Anolis sagrei: one gene and its partner. The protein of the gene in region 1 interacts with the protein of each later gene in a pairwise test. Links are inferred from orthologs where the notes say so. Each region holds a gene or a part of one and is shown on either strand. Other genes may lie near its edges.

What was found. The genes of interacting proteins can lie anywhere in the genome.
Region 2: the proteins of DDX17 (region 1) and RBM15 interact in binary tests that used the Homo sapiens proteins (3 or more experiments, as listed by UniProt). The link is inferred for Anolis sagrei from reciprocal best matches to the Homo sapiens genes DDX17 and RBM15.

What each region holds. Positions count from the first base shown.
Region 1 is NC_090025.1:163,996,747-164,004,750, reverse strand, and holds the start of DDX17 (probable ATP-dependent RNA helicase DDX17), read right to left. Parts: upstream 3,475-8,004; 5' UTR 3,227-3,474; coding exon 3,183-3,226; intron 1-3,182. UniProt on the Homo sapiens protein: As an RNA helicase, unwinds RNA and alters RNA structures through ATP binding and hydrolysis.
Region 2 is NC_090024.1:183,682,040-183,690,625, reverse strand, and holds the start of RBM15 (RNA-binding protein 15), read left to right. Parts: upstream 1-5,322; 5' UTR 5,323-5,488; coding exon 5,489-8,449; 3' UTR 8,450-8,586. UniProt on the Homo sapiens protein: RNA-binding protein that acts as a key regulator of N6-methyladenosine (m6A) methylation of RNAs, thereby regulating different processes, such as hematopoietic cell homeostasis, alternative splicing of mRNAs and X chromosome inactivation mediated by Xist RNA.

The DNA of each region.
Region 1 (8,004 bases):
GCTTCAGCTCGGCCACGTCAGTTCAGGCCCTATTTATGCAGACCACTTAATGCAGTTCGAAGCTGCGGTGGCCAGGTGACACATTCCCACGAAAGCGTCCAAGAAAGCCCTTAGGGTGCATCCACACTGTAGAATTAATGCAGTTTGACACTGCTATAACTGCCGTGGCTCAATGCTATGGACTCAGGGGAGTGGTAGCACTCTTTGGCAGAGAAGGCTAAAGACCTTGCAAAGTGGCAATTAACACAATTCCATAGCAGTGCAAGCTGTGTCAACCCCTACTAATTCCGCACCCTTCCATATGGCATCAGTTTGGGCATTCACCATCGGGGCATCAAACTGGAACCTAGGCTTTCTTATTTAATAATCTACACAGCAAATAATGGTTTGAAAATGATTTAGGTGGTCATTGCAGATAATAATAATGCCCCTTCCTGGTGCAGTGCCAAAGACCTTGGCCTGCACTTAAAAACAATCTGCGCTGACAAAATTGTCAGGAGGCCACCCTACCTGGATTTGTACACATTATTCACCAATACAATTAGGAGCCCCCGGTGGCGCAGTGGGTTAAACCCTTGTGCTGACAGGGCTAAAGACTGATAGGTCGCAGGTTCAAACCCCAGGAGAATGCGGATGAGCTCCCTCTATCAGCTCCAGCTCCTCATGCAGGGATATGAGAGAACCCTCCCAACAAGGATGATAAAACATCAAAACATCCAGGCGTCCCCTGGGCAACGTCCTTGCAGACGTCCAATTCTCTCACGTCAAAAGCAACTTACAGTTTCTCAAGTCGCTCCTGACACGGCAAAAAAACAAAACAAAACCCCAATACATTACACAGTTCTAGACACTTGGGAAGTGTCTTGACGTGTGATCAAATATAAAAGTCAGCTTAGTGATCTTATTTGCTGTGTACTAATCTTGTTGTGTATCTAACAACAACAACACTTTATTTATAATCTGCTCTATCTCCCCAAGTGGACTCAGGGTAGTTTCCACACAAAAAAGTGGCAAACATTCAATGCCATTAATGAAAACACACAAACCAATTCAAACCAATAATACGATAACATCACTTATAATAACTAACCAAAGTTAATAAATGAAAGCAATATAAAATAATTACTTAAAAGCATAATAAAATCTCGTTGCTCCCATTCAGAAAGGTATCATTCACTGTCTTGTGATTTTCCAAATCCTGCTGAATAAAGATTCAGCCTAAGGCTAGGCCATTTTCAGGAATGTCACAATACATATTTTTTTCTGATCCAGAAAGAAATTTTATGAGTTCCAAAACAACTAGGCTGCAATTCTAACTTGATATATTAGGAGATAAATAGAATCCAAACTGCCTTAAATGGTCAGTGTTGATCAGTGGTTCTCAACTTCTGGGTCCCCAGATGTTTTGGCCTTCAACTCCAAGAAATCCTAACAGCTGGTAAACTGCCTGGGATTTTTGGGAGTTGTAGGCCATAACACCTGGGGACCCATAGGTTGAGAACCACTAGTGTAGATGGCACTTTAGAAGTACATTTATTTTATTGTGATTCGTTTTTCAAACTTTTGGTTTATGATTATAGGTTGTACATGATGTCTTCTGCTTATAATTTTCTATATTTTTACCCCACTCTATCTCACTCCAAAGGGGACTCAGAGCGGCTTCCAGATTGGCAATAATTCAATGCCATAACAAACATAATCATACAAATACAATATACACCATACATTAAAATCAGGAGAAAAGCAGAAAAAATAGTAAACATATCAGTACATTAACACAACACAAGATTCAAAGTCATAATTCATAATGTGACTTAAAAGAGTCCACAGTATTGTGACTTAAAAGAGTCCATTGTGAGCCGCCATGAGACCTTGGGGAGAGAGGATGGGATATAAATAAAGTTTATTGTAAGTGTGACCTCAACTGACTTACATTGTAGAGCGGATGTGGGCAAACTCGGGCCCTCCAGGTGTTTTGGACTTCAACTCCCACCATTCCTAACAGCCTCAGGCCCTTTCCTGCTTAAGCGGCTGAGGGGGAAAAGGAAGGGGCCTGAGGCTGTTAGGAATGGTGGGAGTTGGAGTCCAAAACACCTGGAGGGCCCAAGTTGGCTCCCTACCTACTTTAGAGTTTGACAAAACTTCAACTGCCAGGGCTCAATGCTATAGAATTGTAGCAGCTGCAGAGGCACCAACCCCTCTTTGGCTGGAAATCCCTTTATAGAACTACAACTCCCTGGATACCATAACATTGAGCCAGAGCAGATGAAGCTAGTTTAATTTTATTGTAAACGCGCCTTCTAACTGTTTTGATATTTGCTGATGCACTGTTTTTAATATGATTTATGTTTAAAGTGTGGTTTTTTATTATTAGTCTCTCCAGGGCTAAATCCCTGGAGAAACTACAATGCCAAATAATAATAATAATAATAATTGGCATTGTAGTTTCTCCAGGGAATAAGAATTATTATTATTATTCTTTGGGCATTGTAGTTTCTCCAGGGAATAATAATAATAATGGTGTATATTGTATTTGTATGATTATTCTTCTTCTTCTTTGGGCGTTGTAGTTTCTCCAGGGAATAATAATAATAATTATTATTATTATATAATAATAAATATATACCATTATTATTATTATTATTATTCCCTGGAGAAACTACAACGCCCAAAGAATAATAATAATAATAATCATACAAATACAATATATACCATTATTATTATTATTATTCCCTGGAGAAACTACAACGCCCAAAGAATAATAATAATAATAATAATAATAATAAAACTACAGCGCCCAAAGAATAATAATAATAATCATACAAATACAATATATACCATTATTATTATTATTATTCCCTGGAGAAACTACAACGCCCAAAGAATAATAATAATAATAATAATAATAATAATAATGGTATATATTGTATTTGTATGATTATTATTATTATTCTTTGGGCGCTGTAGTTTCTCCAGGGACATAGCCGGGGGGGGGGGGGAGAGTGCGACAAATCCCTGGATTCCACAGCAATAGTGACGCAAACTGGATTAAATCGACAGTGTAGACGACCCCTTATTTCCCTCTGCTTTGATAGTGACCAAGAAAGGCCTAACGTTCAGCCTGGGAGGCCCCCTAAAGGGAGCTTTCGCGTGGCGTCCTTTGCTAGGCCTCATCCACTCACCCGCCGCGGTCTCGGTCGCGGCCTCGGTCCCCGAAGCCTCGCATCCTCGAAGGCCGAGAGTCAGTCGCCGGCGCGGGGGTTGAGAAAAGGACAACAGGCCGGCCTCGAAGGAACCAACAAGCAGCTTCTGTCTAAATCCTTTCAGAAGCAGCCTTCGGAGCTTTATTTCCTTGACTCGAGAGGCGCTTGGGGTCAAATTCCGGGCCGACTCGAGCCAGGCGCCGCTGAGGAGAACCTCCCCTGTCTTTCTTCTCCGGCCTGCTGACACAAAATGGCCGCCGCCGCCCGAGCTCGCCTCACTTTACGTTATCAGCCCAGCCCACTCTTGCGTAAAGCGCGTCTCTGAATAGCCAATTGTGCGCTAATTGCGCATTCAACGGCACTTTCGCCAAGTTGCCCCTAAGATACGCTGACAAAGTCCAGGCTAACGCCACCTTTCTGCCTATTCTCGAATCATCGAACCCCGGAAGAAACACAACCGCCTCCGCAATCTGCGTAAGCTCCCTGTGCCGGTTTTAGCGTAAAGAAACTAGTTTCCGGCGTAGGAACTGCTGGGAAGGAGCACAACTCCGCACTCTCTGTAGCGTATTTTTGTTTAAAGAATACTAACTTCCAACTGGACAGGCAAGAGGCGGGACCGGCTTTGTGGAACAATGAACTGTTCTCTTAGACTTAGGCCACAAAGGAAGATATGGAGACTTCACCCCCAGCTTTCTCTGTTTGGCCCTTCAAAAATACAGAAAGTCTGTACATTTAAGTTCACTTCTGTCTAGCTATTAATGTGCTTTGATACATCAATCAGTGAAACAATCCCAGAAAAAGCAGCCGAGTTATATATTTGTGTCTGTAGCCAGGATGACTGGTTTCTCCTTGTTTCTAAGGAACTCAGACTTGGTTTTTGTATAGTTCATCCGCAGCTGAAGTAAAGTTTTTTTTTATTTCTACGACTGATTCTTTAATAATGCTAATAACAATGGCAATAAAATGCTTTTTTCACAATCAATTTCTGAAATTAAAAAAACCTACTTGTGTATATTGGATTGCTGTGAGTTTTCCGGGCTGTATGGCAATTTTCTGGAAGCATTCTCTCCTGACATTTTGCCCTCATCTTTGGAGGCTTTTAAACAGGCTGGATGGCCATCAGTTGGGGGGTGCTTTGAATGCAATATTCCTGCTTCTTGGCAGGGGGTTGGACTGGATGGCCCATGAGGTCTCTTCCAACTGTATGATTCTATTATTCTAGGTATCCTCAGAGATTGTGAGGTACACATCCTCAAAACAATATACAGCTCTGGTCCAGCGTACCTGTCCGAAAGTATCTCCTACATCCCACCTTGGAGTTTAAGATCTTCTGGGCAGGCTCTGCTCTCGGCCCCGCCTCTGTCTCAAACACGTTTGGTGGAGATGAGGGACAGGGCCTTCTCGGTGGTGGCCCCCCGCCTGTGGAATTCACTCCCCGGGGAAATTAGGTCATCATCATCCCTCCTCACCTTTAGAAAGAAGATAAAAACGTGGATGTGGGACCAAGCCTTCGGGTAATTAAGCAGAAATGACAATTGACAATGTTGACAATGGCTTGGAAATGGATTATGGATAAGTTAAACAGAGTACTCAATCATAGTATACAGCTAGTTAAATGACCACCAGACTGGTAATAACTCAGTGGACTCTAAGTATATTGTTTTAATGTTTTATGTTTTTATGCTTTTAACTATTATAATTATTGGTGTTTTGTATTTTATTATGCGGCATCGAATTGTTGCCAGTTGGAAGCTGCCCTGAGTTGAGGTTGAGAAGGGCAGGGTAAAAACATTCAAAATAATTAAAATAAATAAATAGTGCCTGCCATAGATGTGGGCGAAACATCAAGAGAAAATGCTTCTGGAACAGGGCTGTACTGCCCAGAAAATTCATAGCAAACCAGTGATTCCGGCCATCAAAGCCTTTGACAACATACTCCCATATATATTTGCATTTTCTTTGTGGCTTTTTCTTTTCTTCTTCCTTTTGCCTCATATGCCTTGTCCATCTCCCTTTCCTTCTTCTCTTGCTTTTTCTCATACATCTTCGCTTTTATTTGCTTGCTCTTCCTTTTTTCCCCCTCATGCTTCTTTCTTCTCTTCCTTTCTTTACTATCCTCCCCTCCCCTCTTCCTTTTTTCCTTTCTCTTCACTTTTTTCTTTCTTCCCGCCCTTCTTTCATTCCTTTCTTCCTTCCTTCCTTTCTCATACTTTCCTCTCCTCTCTTATACCTTTTTTCTATTCTGTTATCCTTCCCCCACTACATGTTGAAAATAGCAATCTCCTACCAGTTTCCTACACTAGATATTTGTTTTTGTATATAATTGAGATTGCTGGCTATATTGTATGTATATATTGGTATGCAGTTTTGCCCTTAACTCTATGTTGTTAGAGGTTGTGGGAGGGACTAGAGATCACGTGACCCTGTTCTTAGAGTGTTCAGAGTGGGACTCCATTTCAGAATGCGTTTGAATCAGAAGTCTGTTGGAGTCAGTTAAGTCAGTTAGAATTATTATTATTCTTTGAAACATTTGTATTCTACCCTTCTCACCCTGAAGGGGACTCAACAGCAAATATTCCATGCCGGGACATAAAATAACTATAAATATACACAAACATTAAAATCATTCATATCTACTTTTAAATCAGCTGTTCAAAACCGTCTCGAGACACCATGCTGGCCCTGGTCAGTGAAGTTCCCTATTGTTGCATCATTGCACTGCCCCAAAGGCTTGGTCCTACAACCAGGTCTTTAGCATCTTTCTGAAGGACAGAAGAGAGGGGGCTGATCTAATCTCATCAGGAAGGGAATTCCATAGCCGGGTGGCAATAACTGAGAAGGCCTTCTCTCTCATCCCCGCCAAACACGCCTGTGACAGAGGCAGGACCAAGAGCGGGGCCTCCCCAGAAGATCTTAGTCTTCATGTTGGTTCATAAAGGGAGATGCATTCAGACTGGTAAACTGGACCAGGGTGTTTAGGGCTTTGTAGGCCAAAGCCAGCACTTTGAATTGTGCCCGGTAGCAAACAGGCAGCCAGTGGAGCTGACGTAACATGGGAGTTGTGTGCCAAGTTATTAACCTGGCTGCCTCTTGTTGGACTATTTGAAGCTTCCAAATAGTCTTCAAAGGCAACCCCATGTAGAGTGCATTGCAGTAGTCTATCCTGGATGTAAAGAGAGCGTGGACCACCATAGCCAAGTCTGACTTTCCAAGGTATGGGTGCAACTGCCACACAAGTTTTAATTGTACGAAAGCCCCCCTAGTCACCGTCGAAACCTGAAGCTCCAGGCTCAGCAATGAGTCCAGGAGAACTCCCAAGCTGCGAACCTGCGCCTTCAGAGGGAATGTAACCCCATCCTTGCAAATGACCAGGAGGACCTCTGTCTTGTCTGGATTCAACTTCAAATTTTTCGCCCTCATCCAGACTGTCACAGCAGCTAGGCATTGGTTCACGACCTGGGCAGCCTCCTTAGCATCTGGTGGAAAGGAGTGCAGTTGGACATCATCTGCGTACAGATGGCATTGAACTCCAAAACTCCAGATGATCTCACCTAGCACATTCATGTAGATGTTAAACAACATGAGGGACAAGACTGAACCCTGTGGAACACCACAGTTGAGAAGTCAGAAGTCAGTTGAGGCTTGAGTGTTGTGGTGAGGGGATTGGGGTTTCAGAGCCTGAGGGAGTGGTGAATGAGTTTGAAAGTGGAACTGTTTTGGAGTCCAGCAGACAGGGAGAAGACCTTTCACCCACAAGGAGCATAGCAACTCCTGATAAAGACCTAGCAGACCAAGATAGCTCATCCAAGAGAACAGTTGAGTTAGACAGGGATATCAGGCTGGAACTTAAGGGAAAAAAACATCAGGTGCGGGAAATCCAAAAGAATAATTGAGAAAGATGCACAGGCAAAGTTTCACAAGCCAGAACCTCAAGGTCAAAAATGCCTTCATGTTTTGCAGCTCTTAAATTAGATAGTGTCTCATTGAGAGTTCAGATCAGGCAACGCTGCTTAATAGTAAGGATGTCAAGTCATGTTTCCAGTTCAGGTTCCTGGGTGTTTTGATTCATGTTTTAAGTTCTTATAGCCATGGTTTTTCTGGATTCATGTTTATATTATGATTCTTGTTTTCCTGTACCATTTGGATTATTGCCTTTGAAGTGTTTTACTCCTCACCAGCTTGGTTGGGTTTTTATATATTGACTACCTTTTCTGATTATCTGTTGGATTTTGCCTTTCTTACTCCTTTGGGGGATTTTCCCCTTTTTATATGTGCTCTCATCCGACTGGTATTTTACTACTGCTTTTGGATTTCTGGTTTGTGCTAATGGCAAGGTGAACTCTATCTGGGGTACAACGTCGAGTCAGTTGGGAGTTAGAAGTTAGTTGAGACAGTAAATGTCAGTTAGAGCAGGAGTGTAGATAGTATGCTGAAGTGAGGTGTCAATTAATATATGAGTCTGTTTGCAGCAGATGTACAGTATAGTACAGTTTTAAATATAATTCAGTTAACATGAAACCAATAAGCAATGTACCTGTATGCTAAATACATGAAGTTTGTAAGTAAATAAAATATGTTAACTTTTAACAAAGACTACTTTATTTTTTGGTCTCTTGAAAGTATGATTTAAAAGCAATATATTTTATGGGAAAGTAGATATATTTTTGGGCTATTGAAAATAACACTTCCGATGAGCTGCTATATTGATGCATTGGCATATCTTTGTTCCTAACAGTTCAGAGAGAGAACCAGGTATATCAGCCTAACAGCTAGGAAGCCTAAATTGCCTTGCATAAATACT
Region 2 (8,586 bases), on another chromosome or scaffold:
TGATCCACCCAACCCCTTCTCAGTCTGTTCAGGGACTTCCAAGTCGTCCATTCTTGGTTAGTCCTGGAGGCAGACCCTTATGGGGGACCCTTCAGTTGGGATTTCCTGGTTTAGTTGCCCAGACGGATGCTCTTGCTAGGGGAACATTTATTTATTTATTATTTACTGTATTTGTATACCACCTTTCTCAGCCAATCGGCGACTCAAGGCGGTTTCCAACAAATCAGTACATATAAAAACATAATGCAGATTAAAACATTGAACAATATAAAACACCACAAAAGCAATAAAAACAACATCATTAGCGTCTCATTATTATCAAGCATTGTCCAGTTCTATTGTCAAATCGTTTGATTTCCTATATTAGCTACTCTGCATTTGTAAACGCTAGCTCGAACAGCCATGTTTTAACTTGCCTCCAAAATGTTGAGGGAGGGAGCAGATCTAATCTCCCTAGGGAGGATGTCCCATAGCCAAGGGGCCACCACTGAGAAGGCCCTGTCTCTCATCCCCGCCAAACGTACTTGGGACCGGGAGCAGGGCATCTCCAGACAATCTTAAGAGTCCTCAATGATTCATAAGGGGAGACACGTTTGGACAGGTAAGTTGGACCAGAACCGTTTATGGCTTTATAGGCCAAAACCAGCACTTTGAATTGGGCCCGGTGGCAAACCAGCAGCCAGTGGAGCTGGCGCAACAAGGGAGTTGTATGCTCCCTGTGATGTCTCGGCCTGTTTATTTCTCAGTTGGACTGTTCCATTTTACCAAGTTTAGGGGAGAGCTTAGGTTCCCCCTAGAGGCCGAGTTCGGTTGGTGCAGCCCATTCTGACTCAGAGCCAAAATGGGCTGGTTATAGAACTTCGTTTCCCATTCTTTGTTGGTCATAGCTAATAGACAGTTGCCAGATAGTGTCTGGTCTGGCCTAGCAATTTGAACAGGCCATCCTAATCACGTACTTGCCCTATAGATAGAGAGTTCATAGATAGTTTGCCATAGAATAGATAGTATTTGCCTTAAAGTTAATAACACATATTTGCCTTATAGTTTATAGATTTTATATATTTCATAGATAATACACATATGCCAAAGTTTATAGATTACAGATAGTTTATAGTTATACAAACCCAGAGTTCATAGTTGTACATGCTATAGTCTATAGTTATACATTCCCCTATAGTTAATAGTTATATTTGCTTTATAGATTATAGATCAGAATATACTTGCCATAGTTATATTTACCTCACAAAATAGTAATTTGTTACCTCAGAGTTATATTATCATAATCAATTCTCACCTTTGTTCATTGTTGTTATTCACCTTAATTATTCAGTAAACTCAATTTGGTTAACTTAATCTTGTCTATAGAGTTTTATTTTGGGGGAATTATAGTAATTAGGGCATACCGATGGTCACTGGGGAAATAGCCAGACACATTTAGGTTTCTCATTAGATCTTCCTGGTGTGCCATCACACTCCCTGAGCGCCGCTCCTGTAAGCAATCTGGCTGCTGTTTGTTGGACTCATTGAAACTTCTGGACCGTCTTCAAAGGCAACCCCATGTAGACAGCATTGCAGTAGTCTATACAGGATGTAACCAGAGCATGGACTACCGTGGCCAAGTCAGACTGCCCACGGCACGGGCGCAGCTGGCGCACAAGTTTTAACTGTGCAAATGCTCCCTTGGTCACTGCCGAAACCTGAGGTTCCAGGCTCAGCAATAAATCCAGGATCACACCCAAGCTGCGAACCTGCATCTTCAGGGGGAGTGTAACCACATCCAACACAGGCTGTAACCCTATGCCCTGTTCGGCCTTGCGGCTGACCAGGAATACCTCTGTCTTGTCTGGATTCAATTTCAATTTGTTTGCTCTCATTCAGACCGTCACAGCAGCCAAGCACCGGTTCAGGACCTGTACAGCCTCCTTAGTAGCGGGTGACAGAGGAGTTGTGGTTCCTATGAAGCTTTTCCTTGATTTGAGTCTACTGGGAGGAGGCTGATAGCCATGCAGTGGGTGGCTTTAAGTGTTCAACCTTATTTCTCTCACAGTTAGCAGCAACTTCCCGTTGCACATTGAGTGGGGAGGGGGGGCAATGCCAGCTAGCTTGTAGAGTTTATCAACAAGTGTAGGTTTGAGACATCCTGTGATTATTCTGCATGTTTCATTCTGTGCTATGTTCATCTGCTTCACATAAACAGACTTATGCAAGCAGGGCAGGCATACTCAGTTGAGTAAGACAAGGCCGGAACTGATGTTCTTATTAATTTTGGGTCTGTTCCCCATGCACTGCCAGTAAGTTTCCACACGATGTTATTGTGTGGGGCTGCTTTGTGCTTGGTGTTCATGTAGTGTTTCCTAAATGTTAGTGTTCAATCTAAGATGATGCCAAGATATTTAGGATGGAAACGGTGTTTGACCTCTTGGTCTTCCCGCGTAACTTTCAATTTCCTGCTAGCTTCGTGGTTCTGTAGGTGGAAAGCACACAATTGTGTCTTGGCAAAGTTAGGCTCCAGGTGTTTATCATTATAATAGCTGGAGAGATCTTTCAAGGCATTAGTAAGTTGGTTTCTGACTGTTTCAGTTTTTTTGCTTGTGTTGTTATGCCAAGGTCATCAGCATATATAAAGCTCTTTGAAAGTGGTGGCTATGGCTGATCGTTAGTAAAGATGTTAAACAAGGTTGGTGCAAGAATGCTGCCTTGGAGTGAACCATTCTTTTGCCTCCCCCATCTACTTTTCCTGCCTTGAAATTCCACAAAGACGCTGCAGTTTTCTAGAAGGATCTGGATCGTTTTTGTGAAATCAAAGTTCCAGGTAATATGGTAGATTTTATGCAACATATTTCTATGTTGCACCGTGGCATAGGCTGCTGTTAAGGTCCACAAAATTATTCCCATAATTGTTCATAAATCAACAGATTTACCTACCTCCACAACATGTTCGTAATACTTGTGGAGACAATTCTACACCACCCTGCTGCTTTCAGATACCAATTCAGTTATAACCCATAATGTTGCAAAGTTCTGTGCAGCAGCAATTAAAATCTGCTATATAATGACTGGCTCCAAAAGTTAGCAATCTAACCATCTGCTAACTAAAATATAAATTAGTGCCCTCCTCCCCTAGACTTGTGCCCTGAATGTTCCTAGGCCCCTCCCATCAATTTTCCTCTCTCTCCATCCCATGCTAGACCCTTCCCCTTTTGTTTAGGAAACTAAGCTGGAATAATAAGAAACACCATGTTTATGGACAGGAACAAACTGCAATATAATGACATGCCACAAGAATGTGAATGCATATTATTGTTGTTTTAAACTCTTTATTTTATAATATTTTATACTTATCATTGGTGTATTTGGATTGTTGTTTACATGATTTTAATATGTTGTAAGTTGCTTTGGGTCCCATGAGGGAGAAAAGCAGGATATAAAGATTTATTATTATTATCACCATCATCATCATCATCATATTATTATTATTATTCTAGATAATTTTGTGCTGCAGCCTTCAACATACCTGTTTTCTAGACTTTTAGATTTTGATGTACAATGCTTTTATGAGACTGTAACCCTCTCCTCATGCTGGCCTATGACCATAATAAAGATTTGTGTGTATGATAATGTCGAGATCCAAGTCTCACTATGCAATAATAAGATAAGGGGAGAATCATTACTGTTTTGAAAGTGTTGTTTCCTGTATAATTGTGTGGTGCTTCCTTTGAAAGTAGTTGTTATACTCCAGAAACTCCATTTCTGTGGCTGCCACAAACTATGTTGAATTTGTTGAGTCTCTATGGACCCTTCCACACAGCCCTATATCCCAGAATATCAAGGCAGAAAATCCCACATTATGTGAGTGTGGACTCAGATAACCCGATCAAGGCAGATACTGAGGGCTTTTCTGCCTTGATATTCTGGGATATAGGGTTGTGTGGAAGGGCCCTCAGATAAGCCAGTTCAAAGCAGATATTGTGGGATTTTCTGCCTTGATATTCTGGGATATAGGGCTGTGTGGAAGAGCCTTCAGACAAGCCAGTGCAACGCAGATATTGTGGGCTTTTCTGCCTTGATATTCTGGGATATAGGGCTGTGTGGAAGAGCTCTGAGATAAGCCAGTTCAAAGCAGATATTGTGGGATTTTCTGCTTTGATATTCTGGAATATAGAGCTTTGTGGAAGGGCCCTATGGGGTATTAATTGAAAAACTGTTGCAACATGTGCTGCACGAAGTCCCACAAAAACAAAGTTTTTGCAGGTTAATAAACCTTTACCATGTTTTTATGATAGGACCAATTAGGAAACAACATTGATAACAGAGGAACAAAAATGCTGTTGCATAGTGGTGAATTTTTTCCAGAGGCCTCCTGGGACCAGCTTGGAAGCGGTTGATGCAATAGTGTCATTGGAAAGTTGAGTTCCTGTATTAACAATGGTGCTGTTGGGTGCCACGAGGCCCAATCTTGTTCCCAGAACAGTGAACCCATTGGCGTCTGCTGGGACGTGGGCCGAGGACCCTCGGGGGTAACAAAATCTGTGGGTGGGCAAGCTCCATTTCGTGTAATGGTGTAGTAAAATGGTGTCTCAGCTATAAAATGAGAGCAACCAAGGTTTGGCTTCAGGAACCCTTATATGGTTCATAGATTCATGCTGGTGTGTGGCTGAGGCTGGAACATAGGCATGGGCAAAGCTGGGCCCTCCAGGTGTTTTGGACTTCAACTCCCAGAATTCCTGACAGCCTCAGGTCCTTTCCTTTTCCCCCTCAGCCGCTTAAGCGGAAGGGGGAAAAGGAAGGGGCCTGAGGCTGTCAGGAATTCTGGGAGTTGAAGTCCAAAACACTTGGAGGGCCCAGCTTTGCAAATGCCTGCTGTGGCCCTTCCCGCCAGCCGCCCAGTCCGCCCGCGCCAAGGCCCTTTCCTCAACTCCCCTGGAAGAGCAGCGTGACGTCAATCGAGGCCGCGCTCCTCTCGTGCCCCGGAGAAGGCCAAGGAAGCAGGCCTCGCCTCAGCCTCCGCCAGATTACCTCACCGTCCAATCAGCTCACGGCACCCCAATCCCAGTCACCCGTTGGGACGGTTGCGATAGGCATGGCCACCATCCAATCAAATTAAAGCTGCTTGCGCGAGCTCCTCAGCCTCCCACCCCTCCCTGGAATTTTAAAAAACCAAAACCCAATAGCCAATGAACGCTACGGATACGGCTGTGAGAGAAATAAGGAAAGATTGACAGCACTCTTGTCCAACCCAAATGGAGAAACGGATTTAGTTACCCAGGCAATGGGTCTATGGGATGGCGGAGTTAGCGTTCCTCTCAACCCAACTTTTCCGAGCGACAAAAGGAAGGCCGATACAGGAAAAGGCGGGCTTTCCGCTTCCGGAGCATCGCACCGCCTGGTGCTTCCTCCCCCCACCACCACCACCGCCTCGCTTTAGATTGACAGGCGCTTCGTGCAATGAGGATGCCGAGGCGAGCGGAGAGGGCCCAATGGCGCCCGCATGGGCGGGGTTCCGAGCCTGCAGGAGATTCCAAGATGGCGGCGGGGGCTGCGTGAGGCGCGGTACTGGGCGCGCGCTTCCCTCTCGCTGGCGCCCGCCGCCATGAAGGGCAAGGAGCGTTCCCCGGCCAAGGCCAAGCGCTCCCGGGGCGGAGGGAGCAGCAGCGGCGGCGGTGGCGGCGACGACTCCTCCTCCTCCGTGCGAGGCGAGCGGAGCAGTAAGAAGCCGAGCAACGGCGGCGGGAAGTCGGCGGGCGGTGGCTCTGGAGAGGGCGGGAGCAGCAGCAGCAGCAGCCGCCGGGGCCTCCACTTGGAGAAGGCCAGCCGGGCCAGCAGCCGCGAGTACGAGGCGGTGACGGGGAGCGGCGGCGGCCGACATGGCTACAGCAACAGCAGCAGCAAGAACGCGGAGTCGTCGTCGTCCTCGCGGGGCAGCAGCAGCCGAGGCGGAGGAGGAGGCGGAGGAGGAGGAGGGGATTCCCGGGCGCCCCCTTCAGACTCCGGCGGCGGCAGTGAGTACAAGACGCTCAAGATCAGTGAGCTGGGCAACGCGCTGAGCGACGAGGCCATCGAGGACGGGCTCTTCCACGAGTTCAAGCGCTTCGGGGATGTGAGTGTCAAGATCAGCCGCCTCCCGCCCGGGACAGGCGCTGCCGACGAGAGGGTGGCCTTCGTCAACTTCCGCCGCCCGGAGGACGCCCGCGCCGCCAAGCACGCCCGAGGCCGCCTGGTCCTCTATGACAGGCCCCTGAAGATTGAGGCCGTCTATGTGGGCAGCGGGGCAAGCGGGCGGCGAAGGAGCAGCCGCTCCCCAGCCATCCTAGATAAGGACTCCCCTTACGGAGCCGCGGGCGTGGGCGTAGCGGGCGCCGCTCCCGCCGCCCTCAGGCACCCTCCGGCTGCCGCTCAGAGGGCCCTCTCTCCCGCCGGCGGAGGGGCCGGCCTGGGCTACAGGGACTTCCGGCTGCAGCAGCTGGCCCTGGGCCGCCTGCCTCCCCCGCCACTGCCCCGTGAGCTGGAGAGGGAGCGGGACTATGGGGGCTTCTACGACCGGGTCCGACCCGCCTACAGCCTGGAGCGTGTGGCTGGAGTGGCTGCGGCGGCTGCCTTCCGCGGAGTGGGCGGCACAGGGACGGCCAGCGAGGAGGAGATCAGCCCCGAAGACGACCAGCGGGCCAACCGCACACTCTTCCTGGGCAACCTGGACATCTCGGTGACCGAGTCGGACCTCCAGAGGGCTTTTGATCGCTTTGGGGTGATCACGGAGGTGGATATCAAGCGGCCGTCCCGAGGACAGACGAGTACTTATGGCTTTCTCAAGTTTGAAAATTTGGATATGGCCCATCGGGCTAAGCTCGCCATGTCAGGCAAAGTGCTGCTGTGTAATCCTATCAAAATTGGCTATGGCAAGGCCACCCCCACCACGCGGCTCTGGGTCGGTGGGCTGGGGCCTTGGGTGCCGCTAGCCGCCCTTGCCAGGGAATTTGACCGTTTTGGTACTATCCGCACCATTGACTATCGGAAAGGGGATTCCTGGGCCTACATCCAGTATGAGAGTTTGGATGCTGCCCAGGCTGCTTGTACTCACATGCGTGGCTTCCCCTTGGGTGGACCGGACCGCCGTTTGAGGGTGGACTTTGCTGACACAGAGCATCACTATCAGCAGCCCTATTTGCAGCCCTTGCCGCTTCCGCCCCCTGGCCATTATGAGTTGGTAGCAGAGACATCTGCCTTTGGGGCGCATCGTGGTGCACCACCTGATCCACTCCGAGGTGCACGGGATAGGACCCCACCACTGCTGTATGACCGTGACAGAGATTTATATCCTGAAACAGAGTGGGTTCCTCCCCCACCTCCAGTTCGAGACCGGGGCAACAGAGCAACTGTCTATGATGCACTTGAGAGCCTGGAACGCAGGCGAGACGGTTGGTCTCTAGAGAGAACTCGCGGGGAAAGGGAGTTAGGCGGTGGCAGCAGGGACCCACCCAGGAAGCGAAGACTGGTGGAGGATGGGGGACGGCATTTGGACCGTTCGCCTGATAGCGAACGGTCATCTTCTTCCCGCAAACGGCATTGCCCTACTGCAGCTTCTCCACAAGATCGTAGTCCTGAGCCTGGCATAGGCAGAGACCGCTATGGGAGTGATGCAGAACGGTCATCTTCCCGTTTGCTCCTGCTGGATCGCCATTCACCCATCAGAGAGTCACGTAGGGGTAGCTTGGAGAGAGGCCAAAATGAGAAGCGTGAGCACAAGAGTTCGGTAGAAAGGGAACGAAAACATCGCACCCTCGCAGTAGCTGCGGCTCAAGAGTGCAAGAGCCCAGCTAAAAAAGATGAACATGTCTCTGAAGGGAGCAGTGGCGGAGGATCACGCTTGAAACCTCCCCCTCAAAAGCAGCAACAGCAGGATGGAGGCTCAAAGTCTGGGTCATCCCCCAAACTCTGCCTGGCTTGGCAAGGAATGCTTTTGTTGAAGAACAGCAACTTCCCGTCTAACATGCACCTACTTCAAGGAGATCTGAGTGTGGCCAGCAGTCTCCTGGTAGAAGGAGCAACTGGTGGCAAAGTGGCCCAGCTAAAAATCACCCAGCGACTCCGTCTGGACCAGCCTAAATTGGATGAAGTTACTCGTCGCATCAAAGTGGCAGGGCCTAATGGATATGCTATTCTTCTGGCTGTGCCTGGAACCACAGACAACCGTGCCTCATCTGGGGCTGGTGATGCTAACACCACCTCCACACAGCGACCACTCAGAAACCTGGTGTCCTATCTCAAACAAAAACAGGCAGCTGGAGTGATAAGCCTCCCAGTAGGAGGCAACAAAGACAAAGAAAACAGCGGGGTCTTGCATGCTTTCCCACCTTGTGATTTTTCTCAGCAGTTCCTGGATACTACAGCCAAGGCCCTGGCTAAGTCAGAGGATGACTATTTGGTCATGATCATTGTCCGTGGTGCATCTTAAAGCCGTAACGCTTTCTGTGCTCTGTCCTGCTGCTTCATACAGCCTCCCCTGTTCCAGTGTCTGCCAGGTGCTATGCGATAAGCCTTAGCCAGCCCCCAAAGTATAATTTTAATTAGAGCCATAGCTGATGTTATCTC